Neurospora crassa OR74A: one gene and its partners. The protein of the gene in region 1 purifies or fractionates together with the protein of each later gene. This does not show direct contact. Links are inferred from orthologs where the notes say so. Each region holds a gene or a part of one and is shown in the gene's direction. Other genes may lie near its edges. The genes, in order: pex12, pex5 and pex14.

Evidence for each region.
Region 2: the proteins of pex12 (region 1) and pex5 purify together in Saccharomyces cerevisiae (affinity purification with western blotting; 4 studies listed by BioGRID, with this or other methods). This does not show direct contact. The link is inferred for Neurospora crassa OR74A from reciprocal best matches to the Saccharomyces cerevisiae genes PEX12 and PEX5.
Region 3: the proteins of pex12 (region 1) and pex14 purify together in Saccharomyces cerevisiae (affinity purification with mass spectrometry; 5 studies listed by BioGRID, with this or other methods). This does not show direct contact. The link is inferred for Neurospora crassa OR74A from reciprocal best matches to the Saccharomyces cerevisiae genes PEX12 and PEX14.

Annotation. Positions count from the first base shown.
Region 1 is NC_026504.1:5,621,403-5,631,279, reverse strand, and holds pex12 (peroxisome assembly protein 12), read left to right. Parts: upstream 1-3,335; 5' UTR 3,336-3,660; coding exon 3,661-5,001; 3' UTR 5,002-5,390; downstream 5,391-9,877. Other genes in the region: NCU05243 (hypothetical protein), read left to right, coding at 1-420, 509-760, 857-998, 1,069-1,177; NCU05244 (thioesterase), read right to left, coding at 1,505-1,921, 2,034-2,561; NCU05246 (DNA repair and recombination protein RAD5C), read right to left, coding at 6,405-8,332, 8,388-9,795. UniProt on the Saccharomyces cerevisiae protein: Component of a retrotranslocation channel required for peroxisome organization by mediating export of the PEX5 receptor from peroxisomes to the cytosol, thereby promoting PEX5 recycling.
Region 2 is NC_026501.1:8,567,844-8,577,839, reverse strand, and holds pex5 (peroxisomal targeting signal receptor), read left to right. Parts: upstream 1-3,721; 5' UTR 3,722-4,262; coding exon 4,263-4,433; intron 4,434-4,506; coding exon 4,507-6,249; 3' UTR 6,250-6,724; downstream 6,725-9,996. Other genes in the region: NCU02959 (hypothetical protein), read left to right, coding at 28-102, 280-912; NCU16466 (nucleic acid-binding protein), read left to right, coding at 1,678-1,679, 1,783-2,166, 2,229-2,877; NCU02961 (exonuclease), read right to left, coding at 7,176-9,326. UniProt on the Saccharomyces cerevisiae protein: Receptor that mediates peroxisomal import of proteins containing a C-terminal PTS1-type tripeptide peroxisomal targeting signal (SKL-type).
Region 3 is NC_026506.1:2,096,469-2,106,342, forward strand, and holds pex14 (peroxisomal membrane anchor protein), read left to right. Parts: upstream 1-3,001; 5' UTR 3,002-3,415; coding exon 3,416-3,455; intron 3,456-3,535; coding exon 3,536-3,861; intron 3,862-3,917; coding exon 3,918-4,655; 3' UTR 4,656-5,017; downstream 5,018-9,874. Other genes in the region: NCU03899 (HEC/Ndc80p family protein), read right to left, coding at 1-147, 210-340, 401-2,239, 2,343-2,393; NCU03903 (lipase/esterase), read left to right, coding at 5,937-7,427; NCU03904 (hypothetical protein), read left to right, coding at 8,237-8,464; NCU03905 (hypothetical protein), read right to left, coding at 9,868-9,874. UniProt on the Saccharomyces cerevisiae protein: Component of the PEX13-PEX14 docking complex, a translocon channel that specifically mediates the import of peroxisomal cargo proteins bound to PEX5 or PEX21 receptors.

The DNA of each region.
Region 1 (9,877 bases):
GGAATGTCTGGAATACGCCGTTTGCGGGATGTTGGGAGGGGAGTCTGTGTGGGTTGCCGAGGGCGGGGAGTAACGGGAACGGGAACAACAGCAGCAGTTCGACGACGACGACGACAACAACAGATGGGGACGGGCAGGGACAGCAGGGACAAAATGGTCCGATGGGGGTGGGAAGTGGTTATGCGGGTTGGTTCTTGTGGGGGAATAATACGAATACAACGCAGCATGAGGATTGGGCTTCGGATGTGGCGAATGATGGGGCGGTGGATGATATGGAGGGGGAGGAAGAGCAGGATGGGGATAATAGTGATGGAGATTTTGCTGCAGAAGAGGAAGAGGAGGAGAATAGGGATATGAAGTTGGAGATGGAGGATCCGTATGGGGTTTCGGGAGTTTGGTTGAGGGTGGTTTGTTTTTTGGGTGAGTCGTCCTTTTTTTTTTTTTTTTTCCCACTGTCTTTCTTGGTCGAGAGGAAGCTGATACATGGTGCCAAAAAAAAAAAAAAAAGACTACACCGACTTCTTCTCGTTCAACTTCCCCGACGATAACATGCCGTGCCCCGAGAGCGTGCCGAGGCCGCCCCTGGACGTGGGCGAGGCAACCAAGTTGCTCATGATGAAGATCCACGTCAACAGAATCGTCTACCCCGAGCCAGGAACGGAGATCAAGGGGAAGATATGGCCCATTGTACACTGGAGGGGATACGCTCGGTCATTTGATGGGTCTCCTGGAGAGGCGCGCCTCACTTGGGGATTGAGAGGTGAGTTCTTCATAACTAAACTCCCTTGGACAATTTTCAAAAAAAGAGATGGATGGATGGATGGATGGATGGCATATTGACAAGGGCAAGTTGTAGGAGTCGTGCAAATGACGCCCGAGGGCGAGGTCCGGTGGACGACATCTTCGCTGTATGATGGCGAGGAGAGATGGCGGAGCGAGGGGATCCAGATTGGAGGTGTCAAGTCTGCTCGTGGAGTGGTTGGGAATTGGTTTGACAAGTAGGTTATCATTCCATGTCCGCCTTCGTCTTTGGATGTTTGTTAACCATGTGTTTCTTGATTCTTGTAGGGATTATAACCCCCATGGACCTTGTGGGCCTACGGCGTTTTGGAAGATATCGGATTTGGAGGCTGCGCGGCCACGGGGCGGTCATGGAGGCGGTCAGCAGGGGGCATAGTAGCTTGTTACCTCTGTATGTCTTTTTTTTCTTGGAGTTTTGTTTGAAGCGTGGATGGCTAACAAATCGAGGCTTAAACATAGCATGGCACCAAGTAAGCTTTATGGAAACGGGACCATATTGACACACAGATAGATACACACACACCTTGCCTTGCATTTTTTTTTTTTTTCACATCATTTGTAACTACCATCATATTTGCCTGCAAATATCTACTTACACCATCTAACAACAACACAAATCCTACTCTCTTCCCAGAAGAAAGATCCATCTCCCCAGTTTCCACCCCCTCCCACACACAGCAAAGCAACGCAAGACAAAGCAAAATCAAAGCTTACTCCCCCCCTCCGCCCCATCCGTATTCACCTTGCCATGCTCACAAGTAGCCACCAGCGCGCCATCCACCGCCCTCCTCATCTTGCCACTAATACTCGCCATCCGCTTACCGAGCGCCACCACCTCACACTCGATAAACACTTCGGTGCCCACGGGGACAGGTCTTAAGTACGTCGTGTTCAAAGACCGACTGACGCCCAGGGAGTACCAGAACCCGGGGCGGGAGACGAGCGCAAGCGGCATGCTGGTGCAGTAGTCGAAAAGCGTGGCGATGCAGCCGCCGTGCAGGGTGCCGTTGCGGTTGCAGTGGGAGGGTTGGACGACGTAGCGGAAGTAGGACTTGGGGTGGGGAAGACCAGAATCGGCCGAGATGAGTTTTAGGTGCGGGAGGAGGGGGGTTGTGTAGTCCTGCTTGTCATGTTAGTTTGTTATGTGGTAAAAGGAAGGAGAACTCTTATGGAAGAAATTAGGGAAAAGTGAAGAAGGTACTGTAGTAAGTGAAGAGTGAAGAGTGACGCACATGATCGCTGATATCACCGCTAGAAGCCTTTTCGAGTTCTCGTCGGTGTAGTTCGAGTATTCGTTGCTCGCCCGTGTATGGCAGTAGACTTGGGTCGACGGTAGTGCTTGGTGGTTGTACTGGTACTGGTGCGGGTGCTGGTGCGGGTGCGGGTGCTGGTGCTGGTGCTGGTGGTGCTGCACTTCTTGGTGGCTGCTGCTGCTGCTGCTGCGGGTGACGACTTTGTGAATGTTGACTTTGTGGATACGGTAGTAGTGGTGGTGGTGCCGGTTGCTGAAATTGCTGATATTGTTGGTGTAGATGGTGTAGATGGTGCAGATGATGATGTGGATGTTGATGTTGACCACCACCACCGCTCTTTGGTGGTGTTGCTGGTGGTGGTGGTGGTGGTGGTGGTGGCGGTGATGCCGACCCCTTTCTTCCTTCTTGACCACCGGCCATAGTATTTTCTTGCTCCTCTTGGGATGCTAACGAAACAACAACGACTTCAGATGTCTTTACTGGGCGATGATAAGTACGGATGGTCATCTTTTATCTCCGTGAGCGACGAGACGAGACGATAAGACGGGAAGGGAAGGGAAATAAGAATGATAAGATTGTGGCTTGCAGGTCCGGTGTTTCACTGTGCCGTCCGTAATGGGATGCGCGGCAGGGAAGGGCGGTTGTAGATTGCCGTTAGTAGAGGTAGTGTAGTCTCGTAGTGTGTATGTAGGTAGACGGGAGGGAGGTAGGTAGTTGCCTTGGTCGGTGTTGGTTAGTATCGATGTACCACACACACACAGGAACCGGCAATAAGTCAAAACAGGGAAGTAGTAGGTAATTTATCAATGTAGTGTTACCGGCGGTACAAGTAGTAGGTAGTAGTAGTAGGTATGTGTAAAAGAGCGGGATGGAAACAACACCGACAACGGATGCCCGACAACTCGACGGAATCGAACCAAAGCAAAAGAGGAGAGGGGGGTATCCATGCCTGCCGTGACTACCTAGCATAGTAGCAGTAGTCTACACTACACATCACAGGCACAGGGGGGGATGATTGGGGATGAATGGGCAAATGGGGTAAACTGGCGGGCATCCGTTGCAACCCATTTCTTGGGGTACATGAATGACCTGACAGCCTCGGCTACCTGGCAAGGTCCAAATGGCGGCGGCGGCAAGCAAAAGCAAGCAAGCAACTACACTAGACAGCGACGGGAGCACCCACAGGCCTCCACTGCGCTGCCCGACTTTCAGCTGTCCACTCACAGTGCTACCAAGTGCCACTTTTGATGCGTCGCGGCATCCACTCCTTGGCCCCGGTCTGAGTCCCCCCCCCCTTGTTCGAACTTCCAGGAGGTCGAGGTCCAGGTCCATCTCGCCCCGTTTCTTTCAATTCATCCCAATTATATCGTGAACTTGACTTGACATCAACAAATCCATCGATGGAAACCACGACGGCGATATAATACTAGTAAAACGTCACACCGACCCCCTATCACTACGCGCGACACTGGAACATACCGAAAGAGGAACCTCGAACTCACCCCCTCTCGATACAACCGGCGGGAGCCTATCCCATCCCATCCCATCCCGCCCCCGATAACCACCAGACCGTAACAATACCCAACCGGGCACCGTCGCAACAACCATGGAATTCGTCACCGCCCTCCGCGGCACCTTCGACGACGGCAAGCCCTCCCTCTTCGAGCTTCTCTCGGAACAACAACTCGCCTCCCTCCTCCCGCCCACCCTCCGCTACCTCCTCACCGTGCTCACCCACCGCTACCCGCGCCACCTGCTGCGCATCCTCAACTCCTTTGACGAGCTGTACGCCCTCGCGGGGCTGCTCGTCGAGCGCCACTACCTCAAAACCCGCGGCGGCAGCTTCACCGAGCACTTTTACGGCCTCAAGCGCGAAAAGGCGCTGGCCGCCGAGATCCCGCGCGCGGCCTCTTCGGCGCCCAACCTCGTCCGCGACGCCCTCAAGCTCTCCGATGTCGACATCTGGAAGAACCTGGCCGTCATGGTCGGGATCCCCTACCTGAAACGCAAGCTGGACGAGGCCTACGAGATCGATGCGCCGCGCGCCATGTTGGGCGGCCAGTACACGCGGCCGCCGGCAAAGGGGGCCCCGATGAAGGAGCGGTTCTTGTATTACTACCGCTGGTTTCTACGTAAAGTGTACCCGAGCTTGAACGCGGCGTATTACTTTGCCATCTTGGCGTTTAACCTGGGGTATCTGTTTGACAACACAAAGTACCATAACCCGTTTTTGTGGCTGATCGGGACGCGCGTGCGGCGGATGAACGGGGCGGATTATCAGGCGATTGAGGCTCTAGAGAAGGCAGCGGGGGCCGCCGCCGCTACCTCCAGATTAACAGGGGGGTCGATGTTCAGTCCGAGGAATATGAGTCGAAGGCTGATGGGCGGTCTGTCGCTGGTGCTGCCGACGAGTATTTTTGCGCTCAAGTTCCTTGAGTGGTGGTACGCTTCGGATTTCGCCAAGCAGCTGAGTCGCAAGGCGGCGGAAAGCCTGGATCTGCCGCCGCCGACGGTGACGGGGCTGGTGGAGGCGCAAGCGAGGAATAAGCCTAAACCCAAGATCACGAGGACGTCGGAGGATGGTGTGGAGGAGAAGGCGGATGAGGATGATGAGGCAGAGGAGGAGGCTAGCAGCAAGGAACCAACGCCCGAGACGGCGCCTATAGCGGCTTCGACGCTGTTGCCGATTTTCACGGTGCCACCACCCAAGAGATCTGATATGTGCCCTATTTGCGAGGACGAGATCCAGACGCCGGCGGCGTGTCAGACGGGTGTGGTCTATTGCTTTTCGTGCATACACAAGTGGATGAGCGGGACCCATGTCAGGCAGGAGAAGTTCATGACGAAAGAGCGCGAGGGCAAGTGGGAGAGCGGAGAGGGGAGATGTGCCGTCACAGGAAGGAAAGTGCTGGGAGGGACGGAAGGGCTGAGGCGGATCATGGTTTAGCCGGAAAGAAGATATTGAGGATGATGGATTGGCATGAGTTGTGAAAAGCGAACATTAGACATTATTTAATGGTGGCATATAATCTGGCAAGTTGCATAACCAACATACCGCAAACGAACATGTAAAACTGGACATGCTTACTGGTCAGACAATCAGATTCCTCTATCACCTCGTGGTCGATGAAATGTCAACAGCCATCTTCTTTTTTTTTCTGTACTGCCAAACCGGATGGTTCACGTACGAACAACACGAAGCTCATGCAAGAAAAAAAAAAAAAAAAAGGGGGGGGGGGATCAGAATGTCTATCAACACCGTTTCAGTAACTCGATTAATCTACCTGTACGTACTTCGCGAATCCAAAAAGGCAAAAGAAAGATGCGGTTTGTGTGGATCGAACACACGACCTTCAGATTTATGAGTGAAGTGGACTTCAGTCTGACGCTCTCCCAACTGAGCTAAACCCGCTTTGTTGTTGGACTCTAAGTGCCAAACCTTAACTCATATGGTAGCACCTACCACTTTGCCTGCCATGTTGACCAAATTCGCAATGAAAATGGAATTTCCCATCTTCCTGTATGTCTGTCTACGTCTTGCTTGACGATAATTTCTTTCAGATTACTAGCTAGTCAATTATTTGCCGTGATGAGAAGCGCTATCTAGTGTAGTTGATTTTACTTCAAACCCTGTAGCAAGTGGATGGCGATGTGATAGAGTTCGGTAGGTAGGTAGGTAGGTATTATTGCGATGCTTCTCATTGTATAACCATATACATACGACCACCAGTGAATATTCTGCCTTTCTCTGCCTGAAGAACGCTGTCTTGACTAGGTAGCTGTCTATGGAGAGAAAAAGAGAGAAAACAAAGGGGTAATGGAAATGGAAATGCATAGAGTGTATATATACCTCTACCGAACGAAGTCCTCGTGCGAGGAGTATAGTATAGTAGATAGAGAAGAGAAGAGTGATATCTTGTTGCAAATGCGCTCCTCCCTCCCTCCCTGAAAAATCAAAGGACGGTCTCCTTCCAGCAGTTCCCATTGAAAGTAAAGCAAAACAAAACAGAGAAGATTTAGAAGAGAGGTAGCTTCGACGTCCATAATAACCCCGTCTACATATGTTGTAAATGTAAATCTAGCCCGAGCTACTGCAGTGTAATTCGTTCCCCGTTTCCCCGTCGCGCCATGCCATGTCATGATATCTGCCCACCCAGCCAGCCAGCCCCGGGACGCAGAACTCCTCTTTGCTTGCAAAACCCACGCACGCATGATCCCGATCCGTCTGTCTATCCCGTCTTTGAAAGTAAGAAGAAAAGAAGAAAAAGAAATGATAATAACAAAGTGACCACCCATTCATTCATTCATCCATAAACCGCAGCGAGGCAAGCCGGTCAGTCAGTCAGCAGCTCACTTGAAAAGACTCCGCAAATCCATCAACCGTTGCTTTGCCGCATCCGTACGATCCATCACCTGTCCCTTATCCCTACCATCCATACTCAAGCTCGCCAACTTCTTCTTCTTCTCCTGCAGCCTTAGCATCTTCTCTTCAAAGCTATTCGCCATGATATACCTGACCGTACGCACGGGCCGCTTCTGACCGAGGCGGTGCACGCGGTCGACCGCCTGCGCCTCCGCCGCCGGGTTGAACTGGGGCTCCATCACGTACACGCTGCTGGCCGTGGTCAGGTTGAGACCGAGACCGCCGGCCATGATGCTGACGAGTATGACCTGCACCGAGGGGTCCTCGCGGAACTTGTCCATGGCTGCGGTGCGGGCGGTGCGCGTCATCTTGCCGTCGAGGCGGGTGAAGGTGATGCCGGCGTCTTCGAGGGCGAGTTCAATCAGGTCGAGATGAGAGGTCCAGCCGGAGAAGACGACCGATTTGTACGGGGGCTCGTGGGGCGCCGCCTCGCTCTTTTGCTTGTCGGCTAGAAGCTCGGCAACGAGTGCGCGAGTCTTGGTGTGGGGTCCTGAGTAGGCGGTGAGGTCCTGGTTTGCGTCTCCGTTCTCGACCTTGGCGGTTCTCGATTCGTGTTCGGCCATGGCACGGGCGCGGTGGAGTTCTATGCAACCAGGCCTGGTCATGCCAGAGCACGTAGGACACGCTTCGTTTTTGATGTGGTCAACGCATTTGTTGCAGTAAACGTGGTAGCAGTTGGCCTTGACCATGTACCCGATGATGTCCTCCTGACGCTCAGATTCGACGTCCACCACCTCGTTGGAACCCAGCTTCGTGTTGCACCTAGCACAGTTATCGCTGTTTCCTTCCTGCATCAGGTAGAGCATCTCGTAGGCCTTGCTCTCAGAGAGGACAAGCTGGCCGGAATCATCGTCACTATCGATATCAATGGCCGTGTCTGCCGTCATTCCCTGGAGCTCTTTAAGGTCTTCTTCATTGAGGAGATCCTTGCCGTGAGCACAGATAAGGCGAAGCTGCAAGATGGAACGCAAGATGTGAATCATGGTCTTGCCTCCAATAATGCGTTCCTGACCGATGGCTTGACCGGTCAAGACCGAAACTCGCTCCTTTGCGGTCTTTGCAAACCAGTCATACACCCGTTGCTCCTCGGGGGTAAAATCAAGCCTGATTATCTCGTCCGTTCGTGGCGGAAGGTTGATCTTGTCCTTCAAACGACGCAACGTTATTGTGTCGATGAGGACGCGAAGCTTCGGTACGATTTCGGGATCGGCATTCTTGAACGGAGCAATTATGTATTGCAAGAATTTGATCTTCTCGTCGAAGGGCTTGACGCGCAGAAATGCTAGGAGCGAGGCCAGATCCTCGAGCTTGTTCTGGATTGGCGTACCAGTGACAGCCCAGCGGCGGCTTGCTTGAAGCCGGCAAATCGACTTGAACGCCAACGTGTTTTGCTCTCGGATCATATGTGCCTCGTCCAGCACAATGCGGAACCAAGCTATCTCCTCCAAGGGGTATATGCCAGCCTTGTTCTTGGCGCGGGCGTTGAGTTCGCTTGAGATCGATCCGTAGGTCGTGATGACGAGGTCGTACTGTGCCAGTTTCTTCACGTCCTTCACACGGTTGGGACCATGATAGATGTGGTAAGACAAGGTGTCGGGTTTGATATGCTGCTTGATCTGCTCCTCCCAGTTCGTAACCGTGCTCAGTGGGCAAACCAAGAGGGTTGCCTTTCCATTCAATCGCACCGGCGTTAGGCCCATGGCCTGAGGTTTGGGCACCTCAAAGTATCTCGCTGCATTGGGCTGTTTCTTCTCAGGCGGCTTTGGCGGCTGCACAGGAGCTTCAAGACTCCAAGCCGCAGCCTGGTCCATAGTTTTTGTAATGAGTGACAAGATGCTCAATGTCTTGCCGAGACCTGATTGCGAACTGTTAGTCTGAACATTCGTAATGGGAATAGACGAACAACTTACCCATCATATCTGCCAGAATACCTCCCAAGGCTGGCGGCGGACGCTCTCTCTGGTTCTGCATAGTGACAACGTTGTAATAAAAATCGACTCCGCGCGGATCCTTTCTGCGCTGCCAAGTGGACCGTGTGAGTTTGTCACCATAATCCTGAATCAGGTCTTTCTCACGTTCAGTCATAAAGTAAAGGGCTTGCTTCTGATGCTTCAGAAGCTCAGTGGTAATACGCGGGTCTGGCTCCATCTGCTCCAAACTCTCAGATTTCGGAAGTGAGTCAAAGACGCTCATTACTTCGCTGCGAATTTCCTCAACAGTACGAACGGTTGCCGAATGATGCAATGAATAGGAGTTTGTTCCACCCAAGCTATTAGCTCGGACTGGAGGGGCCGGCCTATTCTCCTTCGCATGAGGGTTGAAGACCTTGATACCAGGCTCGACGCGTGGCGGGCTGAGAAGGGCGAGATGATGTCTAGCCAAGTGGTTTCCGATCTGGATCGCGAGCTTGCGAGGGCCGTAGAGCATGAGTTCGAAAGGGACTGCCGCCGAGATGGACTCGCCGATTTTCTCGTTGGGGCCGCTCTTACGTCTCGGTGGGATCCTACAATCAGTACGTATTCCCATGGCGGATGTCAGGAGGTTCCCTAGACAATACGACGTCTTAGCGTCAAGATAACCAAAGACGACGCGAGTGCAATCGTAGGCAGGGATTCTATTCGTCTCGGTGTCATCCACTCGCTTTCTGAGTAGGATTTTGATCTGCGGCCAGTATCCGTCGCCAAGAAGAGACACCATGCCAGGCTTGGGAGCAGGGACTCGGTGGCAGTTGATGGTAGTTCCCTCGATCATACCGTAGCAGACTTCTTCATCCTTGGTCAGGTCGAGCTGCTGTCGAGGTTGAGCGGTTTCTGAGTCGCCCTCAGTCAAGTCCACTGTCTCAGTCTGCCTCGTCATCATGGCCACTGGCGTAGAAGCCCCTGGAGTGCCATTTTGCCCGAACTGATCCGCAAGCAATCCAGAGCTGGTCCCTCCAAACGTGTTGGTACGCAAATGGTCATTTTCGTTGTACGTCTTTCTGCGCTTGGGCTGGGGCACCGAGATGCGGTCTGTGACATTGTGGAGTCGTTCAACCTGAGAACCGAAGCCGTTTTGGAAAATGGGAAAGGTGGGCGTGTTGCGCACATGACCATGCAGGGTGGCGCCATAGGGCAGGCCGGAGAAGTCGATATTCAGCGTCTGATCATTAGGACTAGTGAACTGGAAGGTCGGGCTTGAAGGCACACTCTGGATCTGATGTGCAAATGAGGGTTGCTGAAAGGAAGGGGATGCCCCAGACTGCGAGGTTAGGTCTGAGGTTGAGGAGGCAGCAGACGAAGCGGCTTTGGGGTTCAGGAGCGCTTCCGGGTTCCACGACATGCTGTCGAGCTGCCGCCGCGATACTGTAGCGAGCGATGTGTGGTATTTTGCCTGATTGTTGTAATTTTGGTCAGCACTGGGT
Region 2 (9,996 bases), on another chromosome or scaffold:
ACACAGTTTCTGCTATGCCTTCCCACCATGGTCGGAATCTCATACCCGGCAAAGGGATATCGCAAAATCGGTGGCCCTCGCCCCTTCTCGACCATCGAGGTGGTACTCTTAATCTTCCTGGTCTCCTTAATGACCTCGCTCATTGTGTTCTCAATTATCTACTCCGTCCAGCATCGGGGACCTCTCCGACCTGCGCTTGTCGTTTCGATATCCGGATCGATAATCTTCCTGTTGGCTGTTTGTTATATTATATATAGCAGAAAAAGTCAATCTCGTCAGTATTACGATCTTGAGAACAGGGAGGATGGACAACCCAGTCCGTCAAGCTACACCATCAACACCTACTTGCCATCAGTTGAAAGCACATCTCCCAACATGCGTTTCGCGCCGGCAAATTACTTCCGCAAGAATCGGAACCGCCCATTCTGGACCTCTTCATCCACCGTCTTACCCACAAACGCGGCGGACGAAGAGAGATTGTTGGCCCACACCAGTGAGCAGGAAGCGTCCGAGGAACGGAAAGAACGAAAGCCTGGGACGGGCCGAAGTGACAATCGTAGGAATGGGAACAACATCAAAATCATCATCACGGAACCGGAGCCGGTAGCCTCGCGACATGGCATATCCCTCGAATTCGACCCCCTCAGATCCCATCCAGTCAATCTGGATCGAGGTCCCAGCATCATTCAGTCAGGAACTTACCAAAATCTGACTACGGATCCCAGAAACGCAGAGTCCAACAAAACTGCGTCAAATCGAATCCATCAACTCGACTCGGGTCCCAGGACGCTAGGGCCCAGTTCAGCCTCTAGATCTCATCGCCATCAGCATTTGCGGAAGTCGAGGAGGCCAACCCTTGGCAGCGTCAGCGGCAGGGAGGACCTGCGCGCTGTGTTCCAAAACGGGGAGTAGATATGGGGGTGGTGTGATGTCGCTCGACGCTCAACATCCCTTGGAGACCGCTGATGGCGAGTTGGACCATGGCGCATAGCACGCTCAAGTACCGGTAGTGATCCGGTCGGTTTGGATCATGAACCTGACGTAGTATGGTTGGTGGGGACAGACCAGAACGTTGGGGAATATGGGGCCAACCAGCCCTAAGAGATGTCCTGCGAATTGATAGAGAAAGCCTTAGACCTTCAAATGAGACCAAGTCCAAATATGTTGGCGAGCGTAAATCTCAAGTCATTTTCTATGCGCAACCCGTCGCCGTGATTGTGGGTTTGAGATGTGTTTTTGTAAAGTGCCAGGTGAAGTTGAAGTTGGACAACTGATAGCGATAGATAAAGAACCGTCAGTACTAGACCTCTAGAGGTAGCGACGGGATTTACACACTGCACCGTTCAGCCTGCACTCACTGACGCGTGCTGCACAGAGTCAGGCACGTCCGATAAGCTTATCCGTAATAGCAACCTTTCCCAAGGCGGCTAGTCCAATCGGTTATGCAGCTCAGTGTGCCGCCTCAACCCTGCTTGAATTTTCTGATAGCGGCGGATGAGAGCACTCCAACCATAGGCAGTGGAGAGTCCACTCTGAGAACCCCGACTCGGGAGCGGGACCTTGAGGTCGACTGACTTTTATTCTTTTCCAGGCAAACGCTTCCTGTCTTCCCGATACCTCTTTTCAACAACCCTTTTTTGCCCATCCATCCATCCATCCTCATCCCCATACTTCAAAATGTAAGTTCGAGTTGCTTAATATCTTTCCTGGCGTAACAGTCAAGGAACGGACAGGTAGACCGGCATCCCACATCAGTTACTAACCAGATATCTCCATATTCAGGCAGTCCATCCGTCGTGCCGCTCTCAGATCCGCCCTCTCTGCTTCGAGGGCTATCTCTACCCAGGCTCCTGCTGCGTCCTTTTCCGCCAGCATTGCCCGTACTGCTCTTGTCTCCAGCAGAATCCAGGCTATCCGCTTCTTCTCTCAGTCTCCCCGTGTTCTTAACACCGAGGAGCCTACTCAGCCCGAGCAGACCGAGACCGAGACTGCCCCTGCTGCTACCGAGGAGGCTGCTGTTCAGAAGGACACCACTGAGGGCCACGCCGCTTTCGTCCGCAACATTGTCTTCGACGCTACCGAGGAGCACCTCAAGGGCGCTTTCGAGAAGTTCGGCAATGTCACCGACGTTTTCCTTGCCCGTGATCCCCGCGGCTTGAGCAAGGGGTAAGTTTGGAGTCCTTTCTACGTATCCCACATTGAACTACGCTAACAGATTGTGTCCACAGTTACGGTTTTGTCACCTTCGCCACCCGTGAGGCCCTCGAGGAGGCCTGCTCCCAAGTCGACGGCTCTTTCTGGCACGGTCGCCGCATCAGCGTTGAGCCCCGCCGTGCGAAGGTCAACCGCGGCAGCGCCGTCGGCGAGCCCTCTGCCTGCCTTTTCATTGGCAACATCCCCTACGAGACCACCGATGCCGAGCTGAACAACATCTTCGTCGGCATTGACGGTCTCAAGGACGTCCGCGTCGCCGTTGACCGTGCTACCGGCTGGCCCCGTGGCTTCGCCCACGCCGACTTCGTCGACGTTGAGGCTGCCGTCAACGCCTTGGAGAAGCTCCAGGGTACCCAGCTCGGCGAGAGGACCATCAAGATTGACTATGCTCAGCCCGCCGCTGCTCGTCAGCCCCGTGAGAACAACGGCGAACGCCGCGAGTACCGCCCCCGTCAGCAGCGTGATGGTCAGCGCGATGGTCAGCGCAGCTACAACCGCGACGGCGGTAACCGCAGCTACAACCGTGAGGGTGGCAACCGCAACTACAACCGTGATGGTGGCAACCGCAGCTACAACCGCGAGGGTGGCGACCGCAGCTACAACCGCGAGGGTGGCGACCGCAACTACAACCGCCGCGACCAGGGCGAGTCCACCGAGTTCTAAACTAACAAGCCGCAATCGAGGGCATGTAATGGTTACGACATGACTGGGTGAAGAGGATGGGAAACGGATGTAATGGAGGGCAAAACTGGGCAAGTTCGGTTTTCAAAAAAGAAAAGAGGCCGGTTGTGTTTCTTGACAAATGTTGCCAAAATTGGGGCACATTGGGATTGGGAAACTGTGGGATTGGTGTTGTGGCGCCTTTGCAGTACGATCACTCTGCGTACATCATCCTGACCTTTTGCTTGCAATGATACCTGTACAACTACGAAAAATCTTCTCTTCTTTCTTCTTACTGCGACTAGTTGTTTTCGTTTACCATTTTTTGTTGGTTATATCGCTGTACATATGTACGAATAGAGGGGTGGTCTTCTGTACCTTCTTTGCGTCCTGCATCCCGTATGCGTGACGTGACGATCTGCTCGAAACGCATCGTTTGATTGTTCATTTTCCCTTTCAACTTGCGTACATTGCCGTGCTGTCGGCATGCGAGTATGATTTCCGCACTCCGCTGTCGTCCGATTGTTCTCGGCTGTCGTTTGAAGGAACGAAGGGATCGATGATGGATCCGGGGGCGGGGGCGGGGGTGTACTCCACGGGCCGGGCTGGGGTTCGGCTCCATGTGAGGTGTGGTTGACAACACTCCATTGGCGGGGTTACCAGTAATAGCCGCGGCCAGGCAACAAGTGCCTGAGGTGTGGCCGGCAACTGCCACAGCCCAAAAAGACCTAACAAGAGCGCGGTGAGGTGGATATGATGGCTGGCTGAGGTGCCCTGGCTGCCTCGGCATTTCCAGCTGTTCAGGTGGCGCACGGCGGTGCCCCCCTTGTGCCCCTGAGTGACCTGAGCTTTTGGCGCCCAAGGTTCCAACTCACTTCAGATGCATGCAGAGCCCGATTTCTAACCACGCTGCTGCCATCCACACATGCCGGACCCAGACAACCCGCCCGTGCATCCGTGGGCTCCCGTCGTTACTTACAAGACAGCACACCTGCCACACATCCCGCGAGAGTCGGTCAACTTCTTTCTTTCACCTGGACAACTTCAGTTCTGGACACCGCCGCTTGATCACTAATTAATCAACTCCACGAGCTCACCACGCCCGTGCCTGGCTTGTTTGTTACTTCCACTTCTTTTTTTCTTTCCCTCTTCCAAACTAAAGTCATCCTTCCTTTGCCCTGCGCAAAAATCTACCTAGCTACCGCTACTTCCAGCCTGCCTCTACAACTTGCGCGGGCCGCTGCTTTCCCAACAGTCGACCGCATAGCGCTCTACTTCGTCTACCAGATAGTGTACAAGAGCCGCCCATCTTGTCTTCTGTCTTGGGCTTCGTTGTCAACTTTCGCCGAAACATCGCCATTGTCGCATTAATATCCAACATCTTCAAAATGTCTTTCATGGGTGGAGCCGAGTGTTCGACGGCGGGCAACCCGCTCAGTCAGTTTACCAAGCATGTTGGAGACGACAAGAGCCTCCAACATGACAGACTTGCCAACAGAGGTCCCAATGCTGCGGTTGGTGGCTTCCGGAGTATTAACCGCGGGCCTGGCCAAGATGAGGTAAGGAATCTTCATGGATATTGTTGACGGCAAGGCATGCGCTCTTGGCTGACATGACGATCCTCTCGAACAGATGGTGAACGGATTCCTAAACCAAACGCCGGAGATGGCTCATATGCCTCTCGAACAAGGACATATGCTTCACCTCGACCCGAGCCAAGGCGCCCACATGCGCGCCCCGAACGCCTCGCCAGCATGGGCTCAGGACTTCCACAACACACAGGCGGCTATGGAAGCCGCCTTCAATGCGCCGCCTGGCACTCAGTTCAGCGCCGATGAGTTTTCAAAGTTCCAGCAAATGCACCCCGCCGCGGCGCCGGCCACCGCCAGCCAGATGCCTGCTCAGCGCCCCATGATGGGTGGTGGCATGATGGGCATGGGCAACATGAACTACAACATGATGCAGCGACCCATGTACCAGCCCATGGTCGGCATGCACGGCCCTCAGATGCACAACATTCCCCAGCAACAACTACAGCCCGAGGGCAAGGGTAAGGGCAAAGTTGTTGAGCTCGACCAGAACAAGTGGGAAGAGCATTTTGCTCAGCTGGAGATCAATGGTGACGAGGCCCGCGCCATGGAGCCCGAGCTCAACAAGATGGACGAGGCGCTACTTCACTCCGAGACTGGTGCTGGCGATCTCGAATCCATCTGGCGCGGTATCCAGGCCGAAAGAGACGCCATGAAGGAGTTGGACGAGATTGATGTCCAGGACGACTTTGCCAAGTTCGACAGTGAGAACCTGGAAAAGGAAGATTGGACGCTGAACGGCAGGCTCGGCGCGGACCCTATCGTGCAAGAGTACCTCTTCGAGGAAGATAACCTCTTCAGGGAGACACCAAACCCATTCGAAGAGGGTATTCGTATCATGAAGGAGGGCGGGAACCTGTCGCTAGCTGCTCTGGCCTTCGAGGCTGCGGTCCAGAAGAACCCCGACCACACCGAGGCGTGGGTCTACCTCGGACAGACGCAAGCCCAGAACGAGAAGGAAGAAGCTGCCATCCGTGCTCTCGAGCGTGCCATGAAGCTCGACCCCAACAACCTCTCTGCTATGATGGGCCTAGCCGTCTCCTACACCAACGAGGGCTACGACAGCACCGCCTACCGCACGCTCGAGCGCTGGCTGTCGACCAAGTACCCCAGCGTCATCTCACCCAGTAACCTTTCCTCGGCCGCTGACATGGGCTTCACCGACCGCGCCCAGCTGCACGAGCGCGTCACCAACCTCTTCCTCGAGGCGGCCCGCCTCGCTCCCGATGGCGATCACATGGACCCCGACGTGCAGGTCGGCCTAGGCGTCCTGTTCTACGGCGCCGAGGACTACGACAAGGCCGTCGACTGCTTCCAGTCGGCGCTGCACTCGACCGAGCTCGGCACCTCCAACCAGCGCGAACAGATCCACCTGCTCTGGAACCGGCTGGGCGCCACTCTCGCCAACAGCGGCCGCTCCGAGGAGGCCATCGCCGCCTACGAAAAGGCCCTCGCCATTCACCCCAACTTTGTCCGCGCCCGCTACAACCTTGGCGTCTCGTGCATCAACATTGGCTGCCATGCTGAGGCCGCGGGTCACTTGCTCGCGGCGCTGGACATGCACAAGTCTGTAGAGAAGAGCGGACGCGAGAAGGCGCGCGAGCTGCTGGGCGGCAATGCGGGTGATAGCGACTCGCGTATCGATAACATGATGACGCAGAACAGGAGCACGACCCTTTACGACACTCTCCGTCGCGTGTTCACGCAGATGGGACGGAGGGATCTGGCGGAGAAGGTTACTACGGGCGTGGATCCCGAGATCTTCCGTGGTGAGTTTGATTTCTAGAGTGAGTCAGAGTTGGAGTTGAAAGAAGAGGCTCAGGAGTGGATGGTTGGGTATGACGCTATGGAGGATGTTTACTACGATGTTGATGTCGAAATGGAGAAGGCCTTGAAGGAGGAGCAGCAGTGGTGTGATGAGGACTTGGACGAGGGTTACTTGTCGAGTGAGGCGAGTACACTATGTTCGGATGATTATAGGGAGTTTTGGTGAATATACAAATATTAAGTACTGTACAAAGCGAATGTAGCTGGCTTGTCGGGGTTGTTAACAGCTTGTGTTGGGGAGTGAAAAGTCGAAGATGGGGCTTGGTGCTTTTCGGCTAGTGGTGAGTCTGGTTTTGCATTTGCTGGGTGTCGTGTGTTTCTTTCTTGCTTCACGATGGTGAGCGGAGAAAAGCGGATTGTGTTCACAGACACATACATAGATAGATACGATACATAGGCTTCTGAAAGAATCTGCATTGCGTGTCCTTGCCATACCTTGCTCGTTTTGATATCCACAAGTTTGGGATCACCATCTTGCTAGTATCTACCGTCAACCAGAAATAGAAGAGTAGATCCAATGAAGGTGTGCAAAGCTGAGGCTCTTGGTCAACAGCGTGTATCACTGAACCTTAACAAAACGGTGATATTGGCAATAGATGCTGAAGACTCAAGACGTCGCCTTCTCTAAATTTATGGTAAACTTCGTAAAGAGAAGTAAATGTTCGTAGAGCCCGCGGCATCGAAGTATGTATCTTGACGATATTCTATAAACCATCGTTGACGCACCAAGCAAAGCCATAAGGTCTATACTGTCTTGATGTCATCTAAGAACCTCTTCGCTGCCATCCATAACCATGTTCACGCCAACAGCTACCCTGAAACCACCTCCCACAGATATTAATTCTTCTTTCTCCAGCGTCCACTCGGGGGCATAGAGCTCAGAGCCTATTTAACTCCAATGAAGCCAATGCCGCTTCTCGCCACCTTCAGAGCCCGACGCAGAGCCTGATCCTCCCTGTCCGTCCATTGCACACTAAGCTGGTCCCACTTAGAGCCAGGCGTGTTGTACTCCTTCTTGAACTGGGCCTGCATGGCCTGCAGCCGGCTCATCTCGCGCGGGTCACCAGTGCCGGTGTAGACGATGAAAGCCGTGCAGGGCGGGAGATTGTCGTAGATGCGCTTCAACCGCTCGCCGAGTGTCTTCAGGCAGGTCTCAAGGGGTGATGCGGCATCCTCCTGCTCTTCCTCTTCCTCCTTTTTATCACCATCAGTGAGAGCCGGCGGGCCGCCAGCGTCCTCGGGGACGAGCTTGTTGCGGTTCCACCATCCTCGGAGGGCCTCGAGCTCACGCATGCGTGCCCACACAAAGTCGACACCGCCGCCGGGAACTTCGAGGCCGTCGGGATCACCCTTGACCGCGCGGAGGATGCCGGCTTCAACCTCGGCGTCGGATTTGCAGGAAATTGTGACGGTGGCGGCGTTACCGGCGCTTCTGCTTACGTCACCCCAGTCAACAGCTGCGCTGCTCTTGCCGACAGGAGCACCGCCCGTGGCCTCCGGCCCAGCGGTCGAGCGATATGCCGTACCAGCGCGAGCGAGGCGCTTGAAGAGGTTCTCGCCCTGGCTCTCTCCGGCACCCCATGCCTTGCCCTTCTCGCACTTCCTCTTGACAAGGTCGAGACACGTTTTGGCGTCTTCGATACTGTCGTGTCCGGCGTTGGTTCCACCACCCTTTTGAACTTCGCGGTTGAGGAACTTTTGTGCGAGGTACTTCAACGATTGTTTGAGGGGAAGTCCGCGAGGGTGCGGGAAGAGAAGCGAGGTGTCGACAATGAAGGGGTGAGCGAGCTTGAGGGCCTTAAGATCAGAGTCAAGCGAGTGTCCGAGGAGAATCGAGCGAGGACCAAGAATGTCGAGCAAGCGTGCCTGGATATCTTTCAATGTCGTGTTGATAGGATCGATCATCTCTTTGGTGATACCTGAAAACCGGGTCACATAGTCAATGATAGGCTTGTCCGGCTTGACAAGCTCGTCAAGAACAACACTGCCGTCCCAAGAGACCAAGCTGATTCTGGTAAGTGAATACTCGGCTTCCCCCGTCATACACATCTCGCAATCGAGGGCATAGACTTCCCGGCCTGCGGTGACACTGCCCTGTTGCACTTCGCCTTCGGGGACCTTTCCATCCTCAAGATTCTCGACCCTCGTGTGTACCCAGCCTTCGGGGTCCTTGAACTTGTCTTTTTTCTCCCCTGGGTTCAGCATAGCTGGATGAACGGGGAAGCCATGCTCCATCAGCTCCTCGTTGGTGGCCAAAAACTCGGTAATGCGTGTTCGCTGATTTTTCCAGCCGTGGGGCTCAGATACGGGCTGGATTCCCGTTCCCTTGCTCTTGGGCAGGGGCGCGGTAAGCATTGCAGGCATTGGCGAGTGCAACTTGCCATACTTGTCGTCACCTGGAGCTTTTACAGGCCACAAATGCGGGAACATGTCGGCGAAGGGCTGCAGGACTTCGGGCAACAGCTCCTTCTTGAGCTCGCGTGGATAGTACTCATCAGGATCAGGGGCGCCGCCACCGGAGATCGCTTGATCAAGAGTGGGACCGGTGTAGGCGGAGAAGTCAAGACCGTTCTTGAACATGGCCTCGTCAAGACCCGGTACCATGATGGCCACGATCTTTCTGAACTCGGGGCGATGCTTGACAGACACCCATTGCGGCGCAGGGCCATCGGCAAAGATGTACAGGATCAGGTCGCGTAAAGAAGAGACGTTGATCTTGGAAAAAAGCCTGGCCTGGGTCGAAAAGTGAATGCCGGGATAGCGCTTGGATTCCTGGCCAGGAATCTTCTTGAGTTTCTTTACCGGCCGGCCATTTTCGATTGTCTGCCAGCCGCCGCCGTCTTCATGGTCATCTTCGGGACATGGCCGTTTAAGACCAGCCGAAATTGTGGTTGACGTCAATTCACCGTCCGTCGGAGCAGTCGAATTCTGAAGGCTGGTGACTTCGGAATCAATGGCCATAGAGTCGCCCTGAAAGGTGGCCAAGGCAGCCGCAACGCCGCGCTGACCTTTACTCTTGTTCTTTTTTCTGCTCATGATGACTGCGCTTCCTCTGAGGGGAGTGTGACCTGAAAATTGCACGGAAGTGCAGGCTCAGAAGAAATTGCAAAAGAGAAGGAATTAGGGAGTGAAAGTGAAACGAAAGTGTTCAGGTTTTAAACTGGGGAAAACAACTGAACATTGATGGAAGTGGACGTCTGAAGTTGGCACGAAGTCACTGAAGTCGGACCAAACCAAAAAGAAAGACACCCTTGTTCGTGCCTGTCAAACCCCAGGCACGCCAAGGTTGGGTGGAGCGACTCACGGCGCAGTGTTTGCAGGCAGGCAGAGCCCCACTGTGGCATCCAGTGTGGCGGATTTCACTGTCATTATCGGGCATACCTAGTGGTAGGTAGTCAAGCCACATCTTATCGTCCAAGAAGGTGGCGCCTACAGCTTTCGGTCCCCTGTATTGCCAAGACCATCTCTACATAGTACAGTATCAAACGACTTATACGATAGCTCCTTCCTTTGTTGTCCATTGTTGAGAACCAAAATGAGCGTCCACGTTTCCCATGATGTGAAAATTTCCTTCAGTGTACACAGTTGAGTTGCCCGAGTCATCCCCAGCACATCTCCAATTCGATTTCAGCTCAAGCAACAATGTGCGTGATCTGATTCCGACGCCCACGCTCCACGGTTCTGATCTCCCGATACGCGGGGCATC
Region 3 (9,874 bases), on another chromosome or scaffold:
TCGAGCTCGTCTGCTACAAAAGTCTCGTACTCCTCCAGGCTTCGCTGGACGTGCATCTTGAACTTGATGACATCGTTGAGCATGCGCATGGTCTCCGTGTGGAGCTCTTCGCGAAGTGCGTTGGCTCGGAGCGTGAGTTGCTCATACCTATTATTGTCCACTTGTCAGCACAGCTGGTTCTATTCCTGAAAGAGTCATGGCAAACCTACTCGATGTTGGTATTCATTTCCCTCTGCTCCATAAGCTGCACAGACTCGGACAATTGTGCTCGCATCTTGGCGAGCTCTTTCTCCATCTTCTCAATCTGTGCATCTGAAGCCATTTTCTGGGCGTTGGTGACCTAGACCTCATTGTTAGCATGAGTGATACCGAGCACGTAGGACACGCGGCCATTAATCACCTCTTTAGTCTTCTCATACTCCTCCTCTGCCGCCCGCACCCGATGCCCGAGAGCCTCGACCTCATTACGCTTATCTTCGATCGCCTCCTTAGCGCGATCGAGCAAGTCATGGTCTTCCATCATGACATCCATAGCTACCTTTCTCCTCTCCGAGACCTCCTTCCTGAGTGCCAGGAAGGTGTTCTTAACTTGGCCTCGGAGATCCAGGTTCAGGATATGCGCAGGCTGGTATCCCGTCGTGGAGTCGGCCAGCAACCTCTCATTCTCCACGCCGCCCAGTGGCTGCCCGTTTGGCCCCAATACACCTTGCATCGATGAAGCAAAGTTGGGCGTTCCCTCGTTTACAGTTACCTGCAGTTCAAGATTCTTCCCCTTGGCATTGACTGCCGTGGCTGGGATCAGTCCGATCTGGTAGGCGACCGTGTTGTACTTTTCAACCAGCCGCTCGAGCTCGTCCAGACGCTGGCTCGCCTCCATCTCGCGCTCGGCGACCTTTTTTTTGACGTCTTCGAGCCTCTGGGAAGCGGACTCGATGCTCCTTTGAAGACGTTCCCGCTCTGAGGTCATGCGGTCAATATCCTGCATGCTGATCCCCTGGTCGTCCACCGCCTTTTGCATTTGTCGCCGCTCCTCCTCGGCCTCCTTCAGCTCCACGTGCAACTTGCCCAGCTCCTCCCGGAGAACCTGGATACGGTTTTCGTACTTTTCTGTCCGCTGCATGGCTAGAGTGTTGTACTCTTCAAACTTGATCTTGTCCTCCTCCATAATCTTAAAGTGGTTGTCCAAGATGGCCGGGTCGGGTGTCGACTTTTCGAGCTCCTGAATCTCCTTTAGCAGGCGGGCGTTTTCCCCTTCGAGAATCTCCAGTTCTTGGATGTACTTTGCGTTTGACCGTTCAAAAGCCTCCGCCATTCCCTGCACATGCGGCTGTAGTGCCCTCTCCACGTCTTCATCCCCTGCTTCGTCATCCATATTGAGCCAATCCTGGTATGCGCTGGTGAGGAAATCAAAGATGATCTGGTCGCCCGCAATGTCGACCCCGGCTTCCATACAGGCGTCGTCGTACTGGTGTCGGGCGTATCCTTCGAGCATCTGTGCCAACTGCATCATCCAGTGCAGTAATCCCAAGAAGGTGCTCCAATTCTGACCTCCGACCGCGGCGATTTGGCTCTTGGTGATGCTCTTCTCGTATGGGTATCGCAGTTGTTTGAGTAATGGTGGTACCTCCTGGTCGATATTCTTCTGAAACCGGTAACTCGGGTCTATCCTGTGGTAAAGCCATTGAAACAAGTAGTTGAAGTCCTTCTGTGTCGGCGACTTTGTGAAGTTGTCGGACAGCTTGTGGTTCATCTCCATCTCGAAATTGTTCTTGGCGAGGTACTCGAGCAACTCCTGGCCAATGCGATTTTGGAATTGACGGTCTTTGAGGGGGCGCGGATCGCGAGGCACGCCGGCGGGCTGGGGCGCTTGCTGGAAGAAGCTCATATGCCCACCAGCTAAGGGACCTCCGCCGACGGCCGACGGTCGTGCGCTTGGGCGGTAGACGCTGCTTCGCCGGTCGAGTTCTTGCGATGATCGAGGAATACCGGAACTGCCTGGGGTGCCATAGGGCTTGAACTGCGACGTGTTCATGTTATGAACCGACGCGCGCTTTACCGAGCCCAGGCCAATGTCGGAGGATCGCTGGAACAGAGGTTGGCTCGGTCGCGGGAGGGCCAGAGATTGCCTCCCCGACAGAGAGCGACCATGGCCCGTTCCTATTGTGCCGATGGTGCTTTGTCGCTTAAGTGTGGAGGGTGGTGCCGGAATGCCCGACGTGAGGTTGACGCCATGGAGAGTCTACAGAGAGAGCAGAGTCAATATCGTGCATGGTCGCGTCGGATGGGGAGAGGTTTCGACCGAGGAAACACGCCGCAAAGAAAGTCACGGGGGGAAGTCGCACCTCCCTTGGCCGTCGAACACTCCAAAGGCCTGCGTTGCTGTCTTGCGACATGACGGCAAAGGCCTCGTCAATGTGCGCCTCCCTTTTGCCGTCCTAGTCGCGTGGTTTCCGTGATAATATATAAGCAAGCGAACAAAAGAGTGTTACACTACGTGCAACTGTGTCGGATCGATGTCGGCGATGATTCTCTTGGTGGTGATTATGTCGGATAGCTTTGTAGAGCTAAGGTATGCGCTCGAGTTAATGTGGGTACGTGTTCGCGGCTCTGACAGAAATCAATGCATAACCGCAGTCGCGGATTTCGTCGTGTCGTAGCGATAAAAGTACGTGTACGGCCAGCAACCTAATGCAGGCCAGCATAGGTATGTAGGTAGATTAAGACACCGTAGTGTAGACGGGACTAGGTTGTCGACTTCTGCGGATGGTGGGGGAGGTTGCTCCGTCAGGAAGAGTAAACAAAAGAAAGGCGACGTGGGTGGGGCTGTGGAAATCATTGGGCTGAACAGTGCCAAGTGCACTCCAGTTCTCGTCCCCAAGCATCGGGACGGCAGGTGAATGACGGGAGTGGGTCCAAAAGCGACCTTGAGGGTGAGTGTTGGCTCGCTTCAGGTCAGTGCTTTTTCAGCTCTGCACTCCCGTCTCTGAGCCAGTCACTGCATGGAATGGATGCTCAGCTGCGCTCTAGGCCTGTCGGAGGAAAAGGAGAGTCAGGGGAGGAGATAGTGATTTATCTGATCAGCATGCCTCCACGAGTGTGCTGGGGGTGCAAGTGATGCGAAGCTGTTAAGGTGCTATTAGCAGTCCACGTCTAGTGTACAATCAGGCCCCCGGTCCCGTGAACCTCGGCTTCAGGACTCCATCCAGCGGCCCAGCCATCCCCCGAACCGCTGCCAGTCAGTTCGTTTCCACTTCATCTATCGCATTCAGCCTCCCGTCCTTCGATAATCATTCCATCAACCGCCGCCGTCTGCCATCGCGTCGCGACTGTTTCAGCTGTCTGCTTCTTTCCTCTCGTCTGCCCAGTCTCAACAAGGGAACGCCATCTGCCGCATTTCGATCAAACAACATCAGTCATGGCCATCCGCGAGGACCTGGTCGCTTCGGCGGCGCAGTGTATGTTCTGCCCCTGTCTTGTCCCCTGCTACCTCCTCTACATTGCCAGGCCAGAATCTCACCCGACAACAACACCACAGTTCTTCAAGACCCCAGTGTCGCCGCCTCGCCAATCGAGAAGCGGATAGCCTTTCTCCAAGCAAAGAACCTCACCCAGGAAGAAGTCAGCGCTGCTCTCGCCCGCGCCGAATCAGGAGGTCCACCGCCACCGTACGCCCAGTCGCCCGCCTATGCGCAGTCGGCCGGACCCGTCGCAGCACAGGGTGGCTCTCCGCAGTACTATGGCTATCCCCCATACGCATGGCCGCAATCGAATACCGACGGTGTCAGGCGGGACTGGAGGGACCTGTTCATTTTGGCGACCGTAGTCGGAGGCGCGTCGTACGGCCTATACAATCTCGGCAAGGTAGGCCGCCGAACACCGTGCAATGTACATAAAAGGAAATTCTAACCGTTCGGCAGCGCTATGTGTATCCTTTGATTGCTCCTCCCACGCCGGAGCGTCTCGAGCAGGACAAGAAGTCCATCGACGAACAATTCGACAAAACATTCCAACTGGTTGAGCAGCTGGCCAAGGATACCGAAATCCTCAAGGCCTCGGAGCAGGAAAGGACAGAGAGACTCGACAATGCCCTCGAGGAGCTGGAGACTGTCGTCAGGGACCTCAAGGCAGCCAACAGACGCAGAGACGACGAAGCACAGAGAGTACGGGACGATGTGCAAAATCTCAGGGACTCGATTCCAAGGGCACTCAACAACCAGAAGGACTTGACCGACAACAGGCTGCGCGAACTCAATACCGAACTCAAGAGCCTCAAGACCCTCATCTCGCAACGCATGAACCCAACCGCCACCTCGACGAGCGTCAACAACTACCTTCGCCCCAATACTAACGGAAACGCCACTCCTTCTTCAGCCCCTGCCACGCCAGCCCTCGGCGGTGAGAACGGAGACTTAAACAGCAGAGCCGCGAGTGCGCAGGATGAGCAATCCAGATACCAGCAGGAACAGCAGTTCGCTCAACCTGCTGCCCCCAAGCCTTCGCCTTTCAGCAGCGGAATTGCCTCTGCAGGCAAGCCGACTATCCCTGCTTGGCAGTTGGCCATGGCCAACAAAACCGCGTCGGCTTCGACTGTCGGAGTCACGAACGGTACTACAAACGATGGCTCAAGCAGCAACGGAGGCGACGAAGCCGCTTAAAAAGCTGTTCTCCAGTCAGGCACAAAGATAAAATAGCACCGGAACTGGGAAACCTGGATACATTAATCGGCATGAGCATAAGGCCAAAGTGAGCGACTCCCTCTGGTTTTCTGTATAGTAATAAAGCTCCTGTACGTTGTTCAAGCAGGACAATACACAGGAGCACTTGTGAAGCATGGGACAACCTCATTCAGTCCCCTTTCCATGATAGCGCGTTTGTATTTCTGCAAGGTCTTTAAGCGCGGACGTTGCATGGCATTTTCCTAGAGCATGATATCAAAAGCTACCATTTTCACATCTTATAAGGTTAGGCCGTGAATTGATCTGAGACATCCCGTACACCTGACCGCCCAGTATTTCTGCCTCACTATTTTGACCGCTGCTATGGCATTGCCGAGACAAATTTTTGGTTATTGTCCTCAGCCACCCAAAAAAACTGGAGGGGAGGGGCAAAAAAAAAAAAAAGCCATGATCGAATAGAGATGCGCAAACGGTCAAAGAGGGACAACTGGCTTTGGTTATGTCGCCCTCTATTCAGGACTTTCAGCCACATCGGTACAGTCAGAACACCGCGGCCTCTGTAGAGAACTAAAGGATACATTGTAGTGTAGGTATTGATGTCGCTGCCAAATCATTACCTCAGCGTAGCATATGCGTACCCGAGAGGTCGGATGCGGAATATTCTCTGTTAAGACATCCCGGGTTCAAGGTACATACACCTTCGTGCCATGGTTCAGTTTCCAATCGCATCTAATAGTCCTCGTAGCTATTACTTGATCGGGCAATGCTTGCTTGGAACCAAACATTGACCCCACCCATCATCCCTTTCTTCCTGTGCCAATGTTCTCATAGCGCCTTCGTCTCGCCCAAACCCGAAGGGGATATTGGCCACAAAGGGGATGCAAGTCAAGTCCGTCGCTCTGGATACGTATTGTTTCTGCATTGCTGTTCTTCGCTTAGCTCTCACAACTCGCTCTTTTTCTTAACCACCTGCCGGATATAATGATAAATGATATTACCACCCCGCAGATTCGCTGAGATATCTGCGCTCGCAAGCCTTCCCCAATCTCCACGCGGACGCGCTCAAGAAGATGATTAGACAAGGAGCGCCTACAGGCTGTTACAACACAAACGGAATCCCTAGATACCCGAAATGCCCCATTGTTATTATGGATCTCGGGGTCTAATATAAGAAGAGAACTCGCCCCTGTTGATCTGATACCATGACCCCAACACCCAAACCCATCCGTCACCTCTAAACCCACCAAGAAGCCCGCCGCCATGGACAAGACCGCTCTCTTTCTCCAGCTGGTATCCAAGCTCCCGCTGATGGCCCGGGTGGCTCTGCTTCACATGTTGCAGGCCTCACCGGCGTCAAAATACCAGGATTTGCGGACGGAACTCACTATTGCCATGCTCCGCTCGTTCATGGACGTGCCCAAGCCTAGGAGCATCACTTTTACCCAAAAGATGCTCTCAAGAGTACCCCCGATCCGGGGCACGATATGGGTCAGCAAGTACACTCTGCCCATCCCCACGGAGGAGGATGCGCGCGCCATCCATGACACCTTGAGCAAGGCCATCGACGGGCTTCAAGACCGTGACCAACCGAAGACGGCCAGGATCCAAGTACCAGAAGTTCTTCCTGTGGAGGCGGAGTGGACAGCACACAGGCCGGGTGTGCCCAAAGATGCGAAGCTGCCCGATATCCCAGAACGGGAGAAGTATGACGAGATGATGAAAGACGTAAAAGCCCCAACCACGATACTCTACTTTCACGGCGGCGCCTACTGGCTCATGGACCCGGCCACACACAGGCCTACATGCAGAGAACTAGCCAAGCGGACCGGCGGCAGGTGTTACTCGGTGCGTTACCGGCTTGCGCCGCAGAACCCGTTCCCGGCCGCGGTCATGGACGCACTAGTCTCGTACCTCGGCCTGCTCTACCCACCGCCCGAGGCATTCCACGAGCCCGTGAAGCCAGAGCACATCGTCATCGCCGGCGACAGCGCAGGCGGCAATCTCTCGCTCGCGCTTCTCCAGCTCATCATGCAACTGCAACGCTCCGGCACCACCGTGTTCTGGCTCGGCCATGAGCGCTCCATCCCCCTACCCGCCGGCGTCGCCGTCAACTCGCCCTGGATAGAAATCACCCACAGCTCGCCGTCGTGTGTCACCAACGGTGCCTTCGACTACCTCCCTGGCCTCGAGGCGCAGGACAAGGCCGAGAAGTTGCGCGCCCCGTGCTCGGCCTGGCCCACGAATCCGCCGCGCATGAGCATGTACGTCGCCGACGATTACATCATGCACCCGCTTGTGTCGCTTTTGCTGGCACCCAGCTGGCGTGGTGCGCCGCCGACATACATTTGCACGGGTTGGGAGATGCTGTCGGACGAGGACAAGTTCACGGCAGCAAGGTTTCATGCCGAAGGGGTTTCTGTGACGTTTGAGGAGTACGAGGGCATGCCGCATTGCTTTGCCATGGTGTTGAAGAACTTGAAAGAGGCGGATAGGTGTATGGAGGGGTGGTCGAGGTTTATCGCAAGGGTCACGAATTCGACTGCCTCTGAGGGAGGGCTTGATGGTGCTGATGATAAGCGGAGCGCGATGAGGAGCACGTTTACCACGATCAAGTCGGGGACGCTGGAGGAGAAGGAGCTGGATCCTATGACGCTGAGCCCCTATACGGAGGAGGAGATTAGAGAAAAGATGAGGAGGAGGATAGAGTTAAAATGCGTGCCGGCCTCAGAGGGAGATCTCGCAAAACTTTGAATGTCGGGTTGGTGAATTATCGTGTGTGGTTGTTTGGGCATAAGGCTCAGCAGGGTGACTAGGGCGTCGGCGATCGGTGTTGACATTATACACATAAAAGGGGCTTGGATCTTGCTGACCATATGGATCATGTATGCATGTTACCTTATGATAGTTCTGAATGAATTGTTCTGCGCCTTTTTGTTCATACACTTGTAGACATGCTGACCAACGTCTTCCGAGATGTCTCGAAGCGGGCAAGTGTTAGTCGTATACTCATCACTTACCGGGATCTCCAGGTGAACCCCACTATCAACATCTTCCACTTGAAGTAACGTTCTATCAACATAAAAAGCCCGTTGCTACCTTATCTAAGCACCCAGTGGAAATGCCAAGGGTCGAGACTTAGAGACTATGGAGTTCGGCCGAGTTGTAGCGGACATCAAATCATGAAGAAGCAGGAACAAGTTCCGTCGTATATACGGCGAGATGTTACCCCAATTACCCCCAAAAGACGTGTACAATACAGGTGTTGCGTAGCCACAATGCTCGCCACCTTTGCCACATGAGGCAGCCCTTCCGTTGTCTTTCTTGACCTGACACTCTCCCCAACGGGTATATTTGATTCGCTTCCTATCTTCATCATCACACAACAAGCGCCTATTTCCTTCGAGTCTATTTATTAGTTCCAACCAAATCAGGAGCCACTTTAAATCACCCCACCCGGCCAAATCATCACTGTATTAAGCTCAAGCAGTATCTCCACCTCTGACACTCGAGTCGATTGAGTTAACAACAACCCCTTCCAAACCCCAAAACACATCACCAAGATGTCTTCTTCCGACACCACCACCTCCAACATCCCCAACGCCTCCATGCCCGCTCAGGACAAGAAGGAGCATGAGCATGAGTCTTCCTCCCACCAAAGGCCCACCGGCGCTGGAGTGAACACCGGAGCAGGCAGCAGCAGGCCCAAGACCGAGGCTGAGTTGGAAGCTGATCGGCTTTATGAGGAGAGGATGGAGGAGGAGTATGCCAAGCGGGACGGAGGTGCTTGATCGAGCTGACGAGGGTGGCTTGAAGGGAATTGGGTTCTCTCTGCCCGTTCTTGTTTGATACCTCTTGTGCTTGACGACTTCATTGGGCTTTGGGTGTATTCTCTCAGGGAGAGGGGAACTCCGATTGCTGGTTTATGTGTGAACGCCAAGGAACAGGAGGGAAGTGGGATGGCTCCGAGAGACTCTGGAACCTGATGGTGTAGGAAATTAAGAAGAGGATCTGGGACCGAAGGAATTGGAGAAGGAGGGTAACTTGTAAGATATAGTTTTGGGAAGGTTAACAGATGTCCGAAAGGCTCCCCTCTGTAGCATGGTTTGAATTTGGCCTTGACCACCACCAATGACCATCACTAATGTATTATTGCGTGTACTGTCGTGTTCTGATATGCCTACGTAAAACGGTGATTGCCTCTTTCCAAGCCTGAAACTATCAGTTCATATCCTCACAACTCCCCCATTCCTAGTATGAAGAAGCCTGAAAGCCTCGCTTGTCTACAGGGATCACGAGATTGTCGCTTACATGTAATCATGCCATATCTTGAAGTAGCTCTCAGCAGACCACCACTTCGCAGGAAATGGTTATAGCTACAGTGATGATGGGGTGAGTTCGCGTGGAGGTGGAGGAAGGTCAAGAGCAGACTATGGATGGTGTCTAAGTGACGCCCAGGGGAAACGTGAATCTCTAAAAAAAAAAAAAAAGGGACAGGCGAAAGCACGGGACCACGACATGATGAACCGAACACTAATTATTTCTAGCTTAACTACTGATGTCATGCTTCATGAGCAAGTAAAAGAGTGGTTTATTGGGATACAATAAGATAGATACCATTCCGCTCAAAGCCGTATGCAATCCTAAACCCGTTGACTCAAAGTCATGTGGTCTAATTCGAGACCGACCCTTGGTATAGATCAAAAAGCCGACAAAACTCCGGATCCCCTCACTATCCTGCTAGTTACTGTGAAGTCCAAGCGCACCTCCGTGGTTTTATGACACCCAACAATGGACTGCCCATTCGCATACCAGCACGAGTATTCTCATAGAGTGCGTCAACCGAGTGACCCATGCTACCAGAAGGAAAGGGTAACCGGCCCCGCTCTCGACCCGTCCAGGACCTAGAAGCCCGTTTTCCCAACGCTGTAAATGCTCTGGTATCTTGTAAACTCCTAGCCAGTATTCGTGATGTGTTCCCACGCTTGATTGTAAACGAGCCAATGGACGCAAGACCGTCCAAGGTTTGTTCAACTTTAAGATCCGAATAAAATCCGTATTGCGAGGAAGAAGAAAATGCCATCCATCGTGGGATGCCATCTGAGAAATCGAGACAAGTGTACTCGTGAAGACGTCGTTCTGAATCAAGAGAAAACTTTCTCTATGCAGTCATGAGCATGTAAGCGAGCCACTCCTACAGT